3 linked regions of the Rattus norvegicus genome follow. The protein of the gene in region 3 interacts with the protein of the main gene of each other region in a biochemical or structural test. Links are inferred from orthologs where the notes say so. Each region holds a gene or a part of one and is shown on either strand. Other genes may lie near its edges.

Evidence for each region.
Region 1: the proteins of Tek (region 3) and Angpt2 form a complex in vitro, tested with the Homo sapiens proteins (7 studies listed by BioGRID and IntAct, with this or other methods). The link is inferred for Rattus norvegicus from reciprocal best matches to the Homo sapiens genes TEK and ANGPT2.
Region 2: the proteins of Tek (region 3) and Angpt4 form a complex in vitro, tested with the Homo sapiens proteins (2 studies listed by BioGRID and IntAct). The link is inferred for Rattus norvegicus from reciprocal best matches to the Homo sapiens genes TEK and ANGPT4.

Annotation. Positions count from the first base shown.
Region 1 is NC_086034.1:77,838,751-77,841,741, reverse strand, and holds the end of Angpt2 (angiopoietin-2 precursor), read right to left. Parts: intron 1,370-2,991; coding exon 1,209-1,369; 3' UTR 501-1,208; downstream 1-500. UniProt on the Homo sapiens protein: Binds to TEK/TIE2, competing for the ANGPT1 binding site, and modulating ANGPT1 signaling. Can induce tyrosine phosphorylation of TEK/TIE2 in the absence of ANGPT1.
Region 2 is NC_086021.1:160,897,701-160,901,437, reverse strand, and holds part of Angpt4 (angiopoietin-4 precursor), read right to left. Parts: intron 2,818-3,737; coding exon 2,579-2,817; intron 1-2,578. UniProt on the Homo sapiens protein: Binds to TEK/TIE2, modulating ANGPT1 signaling. Can induce tyrosine phosphorylation of TEK/TIE2. Promotes endothelial cell survival, migration and angiogenesis.
Region 3 is NC_086023.1:114,847,233-114,850,079, reverse strand, and holds the end of Tek (angiopoietin-1 receptor), read right to left. Parts: intron 2,351-2,847; coding exon 2,251-2,350; intron 1,489-2,250; coding exon 1,414-1,488; 3' UTR 546-1,413; downstream 1-545. UniProt on the Homo sapiens protein: Tyrosine-protein kinase that acts as a cell-surface receptor for ANGPT1, ANGPT2 and ANGPT4 and regulates angiogenesis, endothelial cell survival, proliferation, migration, adhesion and cell spreading, reorganization of the actin cytoskeleton, but also maintenance of vascular quiescence.

The sequences.
Region 1 (2,991 bases), on a different chromosome or scaffold from region 3:
GCCACTCTGCAAGCTTTAGAGGGTTAGAACAGCAGGAGTTGGGGTCTAACCGTTCCAAGTGTAAAGTTGTGCTCTGAAGAATTCTCTAGGGGTATCTGGTTACGTTGCAAGCTGGACATTTTGGCCTTATGTTCTGAAACACTTGTTTAGTTTGTTAGTGGATATTAAAAATGTTACTAATGCAAACTATTCTTTTTCTAAAAATTAATTCAGAGAATTACAGCTTTGTAAATGTCCTAAGAAGGATTATTTTCCTCAACCGCAAATTAAGTTTTAGCTTCATTTTCTAAAATATTATCTCGCTAAACTAGGGAGCACATCTCTAGGCTAGAGCACTGGCTCAGGGATGAAGTCTCTTCATAAAACTGCATTTTTGTCCTTTATAACAGTCTTCCTCGTTACAAGCACAGATTGTGTGTGTGTGTGTGTGTGTGTGTGTGTGTGTGTGTGTTCAAAGAGCAAAATTGTATATATTACCATAAAAATTAAACATAATCACCTCAGCTAATAACTTATATTTAATTACTAAAAATACCTTCATATTTAACAGCCAGAAAGAAAACAAAAACAGTACAGTCTCCACATGCACTGACATGGCGCCCGCTTGGTGGCTACTCCAGAGATGTAGGCATTTTTGCCGTATAGTAATAGTGTCCAGCCATTAAAAACTAAGCCGTCAGATAGGTAAATGTGTTGTTTCCAAATGAACATGTCAAGCACAAGACGGAACAACGAACTGTGCTTATCCAGATGATAACCTGTAACCACTACTTAGAAGTCCCTGGAGACTGACTGCTGTGGTTCCAGGACAGCTGAGCTGTGTCTGTGTACACTGTAGAAACGTGCTCCGAGTAATGTGGTCCCGGGATTTATCTGCACCATCTGAGGGTTCTGTTTTCCAGTTATTTACTGATGAACTCCCACGTAACATTCTTGCTTGTGACAGAGTCCGAATGCATGCTGTCCCTGTGATTCTAACCATGGCCTTCTCATAGGTATTTCTCCAGACCCGCAGTGCCTTTGGGTCTCCTTTGGTTGGTTAGCGGTGCAGGCCTAAGTGATGTGCGTCAGTCTGGAACACACAGATCCTCCCCCGCCCCCAGGAGCACCTCCTGATGTGGGAAGGGGCTACTGTGCATTGGTGTCTCTCAGTGCCTCAGAGTTAATCTTTGGATGCAGCAAGTTCTTCTGATAATGTAGGCAGGCATTTAGAAATCTGCTGGCCGGATCATCATGGTCGTGGCCTTGAGCGAGTAACCGGACCCCTTCCAGTAGTACCACTTGATACCGTTGAACTTATTCGTATTCTGCTTTTGTGGGTAGTACTGTCCATTCAAGTTGGAAGGACCACATGCGTCGAACCACCAGCCTGTGAAATCGAAACACAAATGCAGTCAGGACTGGGTAATCGCTAGTCCACAGGGCTCAGCTGGGCACACACACCCCCATGATGTGGGAAAAGCCACATTGATTTGTTATTCCATAGACACAAACTACACACCAAGGTGATCACAGTGCCATTGTAACCTGAGTTCTTACGCATGTCTAGCTGCTTTTGTGCAGAACCCTTGCTACGTGAAGAAGCGTCAGTCAGTGCTGTGTGAAGAGCTGTCATCTGCGGTACACTGCGGGGTGAAGACGTGAGAGGCTGCCCGCAGATGTGGGTGGAAGTCTTAACAGCAAGGCAGGCCAAGTGGTTCCCATTTCCCCCGTCATGTTGCTTTGGATGGAGTAGAAACCAAGTGCCTATGCTCTGTGAAGCTGGGGGAAACGGAGCCTTAACACTATAAAGTTGGTACTGAGGGAGAGTCAGGCAACAGTAAGCATCTTCCCACCGACAGGTGGGAGTATGGCAGGCCATAGGATTCACCATATGAAGCAGAAACCTAGACAACGTACTAATCCAAGTTCATCTTTAAGCTTCGTGTGGGAGAGACTGGTTGTATGATAATATTTATGTTTCTTTTAAAATACAGAAAACAATGAGAGTAGACAGTAAGGAATGGGGGTGAAACACCAATTCTGAGGCTTCCTTAGAGACACGGTGTTAATAGGGTAGCTTCTTTTAAAAACCTATTGAACCCCGGGCACTGCTCCTGTGCACATCCCCACAGGCCACCTTCCCAATGGGCCAACCCATGGCTTGGAACTTGGCCTCTTTCAACCCAGACCTCCCCGCTTTCCCTCCCCTGGCTGCTTGCCTCCTCCCAAGTCTCTCCCAACTCCATTCTCAGCCCTTAAATCTTGAACTGGGTAAATAAATGAATTGTGTCCTTGGTTGTGAAGCGCTCTCCTGCTCTCTGGAATAGCAGCACACGGGTGGTCTGAGAACAGGCAGCCTCTCCAGAGAGGTCTAAGTGTGGGAATGAATAGCAAGCAGGCTTGGGATCAGGGGTGCTGGGGCCCCCTAACCCACCCACCCCCCTTGTCGTGTGGCTGTAAAGACAGCTGTTACAGTGAGATGAGAGTCTAGCCCCCTTTTTCAAAACAGTTCAATGGGTTTCTCTCCTTTGAATAATTATAGTTAATGGAGAAAACTCATGCCACCAAGTGGCCACTCTGCTATCCCAAGAATCCAGGATCTGCCAGACAGTGGGACCTAATTCTTCCACGAGATTTCAAGTTCTGAATTCCATTTCATTTCATAAATAAATCCTCTCATTACTGTTGCTGCACAAATTCTTCACTGAAGAACAGACATGGTTCAAGCTTAGATCTTTTACTTATATTAGGAACTTAATATTTTTATTTTTTAATTAATTTTATTTATGTATGATGTGGAGACCAAAGAATTGTAAGGAGCAGTTCTCACATTCTACCATAAGGAACCCGGGATCAAGCTCAGATGTCAGGCCTGACAGCAGGCGTGTTTACCCAAGGAGCCATCTCAGGCCTGAGACGAGTGTCTTCTCAAACCTGGGGCTCATAGACTCAGCCAGGCTGACAGGCAGGCCAGCCCCAGCTCGGAGGTTGTCGCACAGCACATACTCA
Region 2 (3,737 bases), on a different chromosome or scaffold from region 3:
TTGGGATCAGATTTTACTAGAACCTAATCTCTCTGAGAGGCAGGTGAGCTAAAATTATGGAGGGATGGTTATTAATACAACAAATAAACAAACAAACAACCCAACAGGGGTGGGACTTCTCAACTTGGGGTGGGACTTCCTGTTTGGGCCTTTCACCTGGATGGTGGCTCCCAGATCTTGGCATTGGAAGACATGTTTGAAGATTGATGCTTCTTACCACAAATGAAGTGTCTGGAATGTTTTCTGGTCAGGGATCTCTAGTGCCAGCAAGGCAGCAGCCCTCAGATCCCTACAGCCACAGGGAAGGGGAGGCCAGCAAATGCAAGCATTATAGCTTGGAAGCAAGCAGTCAGGCTACACTGTACTTAACAATCAGGGCAGAGCCGGGAGCTGGCCTGGGCTTTCTAGCTACTCTCTCTGAGGCTCTGTCTACAGCCCGTTTCCTTAATGAACAAAAGCAACAACGATAACGATAAAAGTGCTTTTACCTGGGACTACTGTGTTGGGGGGTTTCCTAGGAGCCAGGTTTTGCCGGGAGCATCTTGGGGTCAGGAAAAAATGAAACAGGGGACAGCATAAAAATAAAACTGGTCCAATATGGCAATGAAGTGTTTTGGTGGAATGCGTGTCCTGGATTCTCATCTTTCCAGTTCCATTCCCCTCACCCCACCCCCTGGTCTGGCTCTAGGCTCTGTGCAGAGCCCCGGCCAGCGTGGCTTTCACTGTGTTCTCTGCTGAGAAGTGCTGAAGCGAGTGTCCTATCGGATGACTTGTAAGGTAAGGGAGGCGATTACTCCACAGGCTAGCCCTTCCCCTCTCCACCCTTCCCTGGGGTTGGGTGTCTTGGCTGAGCACAGGGAGGCCAGGCAAATGGACTACTGCAGGAATGATGCTTTTACACCTTGCACAGCTGAGCCTGTGTCCCTGTCCTCACTTCAGGACTGCAGAGTAACCAGCCTGACTGTCCACCGGGCTTCAGCACACCTTGCCCCACCCTCTGCCCGACTCTCATTCATCAATCTTCCATGGGTTCTCCATGTACAGGGGGCAAGAGCAACCACCGAAAAGTCTTTTCCTGGTGTCAGTCAGGCAAGTTCAGGAGTGATCAAGTGCTTGACACGACCTTCCATTGGGCTTAGGGAACAGTCATTCAGCCTCAGTGGGAGGGGACAGGAGAGCTGTGGACCTGTGAGGAGAGGCCCCAGCCCAGGTTCCTTGCCTGGAAGACCACTCCCCCCACCCCCCTGCATCCCCCAGGTCTCATTTAGATTGTCTTGCTGCCAGGGTTGTGTACAAGCCCGTAATGGCTTCTGTTCACTGCCTATCCTCAGGTTTAGGAGGCCTCTACCTCCCTCACTCATGGCTTCCCTTGCCTGCTGGACTTAGGGTAAGCTCACGCTGGGATCCTCTGCCTCAATTCACTATCTGCCTGGGACCCTTTCACTTGATTGAAGCTGGGTGTCTTACAGAAGGTCCAGTCTCCTCCAAGGTGGTTCAGACTGTCCTACAGCAGGAGCCCCTTTGGTTTCTCACCCACTAAGCTAGCATCCACTCCACACTATTCTGCGCTCTCTAAAAGAAATCCCACCCCATCCTGCCTCTTTTGTGCCCCCTGCTGGCCTTAAACTGAAGTACCCTCTTCGTAGCTCAGCCCCTTAGCATTCTGAGCTGAGGAAGCTGAAGGCAGAAAGCTATGGAAGTGTACCTGGCAGACAGTGGGCCCTTTCCTTCTCCTTCCCACAGAGACCAGACAAACAGTAAGGAATTTTACAAGAGACAAACCACGACATCCGTGTGCTGCTGAGTCCCTGTTACCCAAGCCCCTGCCTGCCTGCTCAATAGATGCTTGGTGATTAAATGGCTGCAGATAGAACCAGGCATGCCAAGGAGGCTGTGGAGCAAGCTAGGCATGGTTCTCCTTTCTATGATAGGCTGGGGACACCACATTTCTTCCTAGTTCCATATGGCTCTGCAAGCCTTGGAACAGGAGCACCAGGGTAGAGAAGTCTTGGCATTTGTCTCCAACTCTTCCATTCTTTGGGGAAACTGAGGCCCACGGAAGCGTGTAGCAAGCCGAGCTGAATAACTGGGTATGGTGGCACATGCCTTTAATCTGAGCACTTGAGAGACAAAGGCAGGTGGGACTCTGTGAGTCTGAGGCCACGTTACATAGCAAGTTCCAAGCTAGAACTATATAAGACCTGTTTTTTGTTTTGTTTTTGTTTTTGTTTTATTTTTTTTTAAAGAGCTGGGACACAGACTTGTCAATGTAGGCTGTGGTTGCCTGTGTTGTTATCACCATATCCATTCAACAGATGGGAAAACTGAGGCCAGGAGCGGAACAGAGGCAGAGCTAAGATCTCCCAGGAGACAAGGGCAGAGTCTGAGTTGGACACTCTTAGTGGCTGCTGTGGCCAGTATGATCACTGGTCACTGAGTTTCTCTTTTGCAAATGGTAGGAGAGGGCTGGCCTCTCACACAATAGGTCCCTGGCCCCTAGAGGCTGAGGAGGCTCCACAGGGTCTCCCTTCCGTCTTTGGCTCTCCACCCCAGCCCATGCACACTCCCTCCTGCTCACCTGGGTGCTGGTCCTGGGCTACAATCCGCACCAGGCGCTGTACCAGCTCCATCAGCTGCTGCTGCTGCTGCTGCAGGGAGCTGGAATTGCTGCTGAGGGCTCGCAGACTGTGCTTCAGGTTAGCCAGGGCCCCAGTCTGATGGCCCAGGAGGCTTTGCAGTTGTTCCCTCTTGTCTTGGAGGCTGTTAAGCTGGGCCTGATGCTGTGCCTCCAATGCCTGCAGCCTGGTCTCCAGGGCCCTGCCAGGTGGGACACATAGGGGTGAGCCTAAGGTCTCCACTCCAAGCATTCACCCCACCCCCAGCTTTGGTGGGGCTGACTATGACAGCTGCACATACTGTGCAGAAGAGGCTCAGAGACGTTCAGTGTCTGGCTCAGGGTCACACAGCCCGGTAGTCTGTGTCCACTATAGCTCAGATCGAGAGAGAGAGAGAGAGAGAGAACAGAGTCACATGAAAAGGAGTGAGCAAAGGTCAAGATGGAAGGACCCAACAAGCCGGGAACCAGGGGCACAAGCCCAGGAAAGATGTCTTTGACCTTGTGTGTCCCACTTCAAAGGAGGTAGTCTCTACCGAGTGTGGGCATGATACTGCTTATGTGTGAGAGAGGAGAGGCATCATCGATGCCCAGCAACCAGGACTGGTGGGTCTGTTCTGTTGTGGCTTTCCCAGGAGTGTGCCATAGCCATGGGAAGGACAGAGGTGAAGGTACTCGTTAAGAGTTAGGAAGGGGGGGCTGGGGATTTAGCTCAGTGGTAGAGCGTTTACCTAGGAAGCGCAAGGCCCTGGGTTCGGTCCCCAGCTCCGAAATAAAAGAACCCAAAAAAAAAAAAAAGAGTTAGGAAGGGGAGGTGGGGCCAGCCTCTCAGAGCCTCTGGTGGAATCTCAAGTGTGGGAGACAAAAGAAGAGAGGAAGAAGACAGGAATGCATGGGGTCAGCAGGATGGGGATGCTGGGGACAGACAGACAGGGTGCGGAAAGATGCTAAGAGCCTCAGGGGTGAGAGGAAGGAAGGAGAACGCTGGCTGGGATGGGCTTCTGTGGAGAGAGAATGGGTGCAGGAGACAGGTTTGCACTCGTAGTGCTTTCTTCACTTGCTTGCAGTACCCGGGGTGCAGCCCAGGCAAGTGTTCTGAGATCCCCTACACTATGCAGCTCTG
Region 3 (2,847 bases):
ACACGGCTTTGAATTTATTATAATCTACATTCTGTTGCAACTCCCTTCTATGTAACATTTTTCTATGAGATAATTTTTTTTCTTTCTTAGAAGACTTTTGTCTAAAAAGCTACAAAAAGTTGAAAGCAAAAATAAAGGTCTGGTGTAGCCCTTTTCTGTTTCATCCCGTGGTGTGTGTGTGTATGTGTGTGATTTGTGTGTGTATGTGTTCTGTTGGCATTATTCTCTCAACTGAGGTTGGTACTGAGGAAAACCACAGGGATTCTCAACAGCTAACACGTGAACATCTACTATGCTGGAGAAAGTTGCTGGGGTCTTTGATGCCTGCTGTGTTCAACTTCTTTCTCTCCTATGAGTGAAGCTAGGGCTGAGTGGATGCAGTTGGAAGTCTGCTCCCCTGAGGTAAGACAATAAATTAAGAGGTAGAGCTACAGAGCTTACCAGTCTTGTGTTCCTTGCTTTCCTGCCGTGGGTAGGTACTCACCAACTCCATGCATCTTAAGACATCTTCGTCTATTTTTATGAGATACACTCCTGGACAGAATGTGGGTAGACAAGACATTTATTCATCTACAGGAGGAACCATTGCAGTGGGTGGCTACCGCATCAACAATAAATTCACAAGTGATCAAAACTACAAACTTTTACACTGTGTGATACATGTGGGAATATGACAGTGTGCGATACATGTGGGGATGGTAACTCCATGTCACAAATGTCACACGTTGCTCCTAAATTCCTAGTTTTACTTCTTAAAATATACAACAGATTACTAGAGAAACAAAATGTAAGTCCCACCAATTTGTTTTTTGACCTTATATCTCTCAGAAATTTTTTAGATGTTAACATTTTGGAATGATTTGGATGCTGTAGAAACACAGGACAAACTGTCTTCTGTAGGTGAGGAGCAGAATTGAGAGACCCTCTTCCCTGCTGCTCTTGTGTAGTAACCCACATTCTAACACAATTCGTACAGTTCCCTCGCTTTTCTTCCTGTGCTGTCAAGGGAATGGTTAATGAACAGTATCTTATGTATAAACAGCAAAACACTTTTATAACATTCAGTTATGAAGGAAAATATCAAAAATATCTAAGACAACAAGTTCTGCATTACAGTATTTGTACTCACACCTTCCTGGGCAATCCATGTTTTTAGAAAAATATATTATATGAAACCACAAGCAGGCATTCTGATCTTAGCACATTCTTACTCCAAACAGTATATACAGTCATATTAGAGTCAGAACATACTACAGATCCATGAGAGCTATATGATGAGGGTCCCAAACACATAGCACAATATATACACTTCTATATCACATCTCTTGGCAGTGGGTTGCTTGCTTAGAACAGGTGTCAAGGCGCTCTCGTGCCAGTGAAGAGAAATGGCAATCATGCAGGAAGGATTCTGCCCTAGGCTGCTTCTTCAGCAGAACAGTCAATTCCTGCGTAGGTAAACTTCTCATAAAGTGTGGTGTTCACGTATGTCTGAAATGAGAAAGGATTAGAATACACCACATTGTTTCTGTCTCTTCCAGAAGCAGCTAGGTTAATGTCCTGGCTTCCTTATCTTTCATAGATGGGGTGACACCTTTTGTTCTCACTCACTCTCTCTGTATGTGACAGTGTTTTTGTTTTCTTGTGAATGTCATTCCTGGACTTCTAAATAAAATTCCCTACACCCCCTGGCCTTAGTTTCTAACCTCCCTTGGTATCTTATTGGCCGCTTATAAAAAGGTCAACTAGTGTAGGCTCCTTCCCCAGGCCACAGTTATTTTTCCCCTCTCTCTGCATGGATAACCTTGCTAATCTAGATTTATTTGCCTGTTGACCCCTAAATTGATGCAGGCAGCTACTTTTAAAAAAATGTTTCAATAGACTTTCATAACCTCCAAATAGTAAACTATAGGCCAGATTTTGTTGTTTGCGTATTCTTGGCCAAAGCCCTTAACCTCTTTGTTTCTTCATCTATAAATTTAAAGGGACAGGCCGCATGAATAAGATTGCTTCCAGCTCTAAGAGAGAACTTGCAGGTTACATTTTACTGTATGTATGAGTGACTATGTCTTATACAGAAATCTTATTTTTCCCTAAGTTCTCAAAGTTGGGGAGCATATCCACTATGCTCCCATAATCCCTTAAGCCTGTTCTTAGAATAACTTGTTGAGTTGTATCAATGATATTTTAGTGATCACTTTGAGCACATCACAGATTCCCAGGGAAAGAGGACTTGCATCAAATTGTGCTCACCTTTCGTTCTTCCAGCATTCTGTTTAAGGACACCAATATCTGGGCAAATGATGGTCTCTCATAAGGCTTCTCCCTCCAGCATTGTCTCATTAGATCATACCTTTGAACACAAAGAGTGTAAGGATTACCTCTGAGTGTGCTTTAGGCCTGGGTATACCATAGGAATGAAGCGTAAGGCAGAAGGAAAAACAAAATTAGTCACCAATGCAACATTGTCGGGCATAAAATATATGTACTCTACCTAGAAAGTTTCCAAAGTACCTTCCTCTCGCCCTTCAAACACACATCCCCTTTCTTCATTTGTAGGTATAGTGCAGGCTTGTTGCCACTCTTTTAGAACTTTGATCTCAACTATTATAGCCATGCAGAATGAACTGAGTTTCCTGTTTATAGCAGCATTTCTTTTGGAATACTACCTCTCTAAAACATTAGTTCCCCTTAAGGAATGCCCATATGTGTACTTCACAGAGGTGGGACGTTTAGAAGTCCTGACACTAAAAACAAATGGCATCTTTAACCAGGTGCAATGGACCAATTATTGACATTCTAAGAACAAGAAAACAGCTCACAGGCACCAATTCTGTTGGGACTTTGATC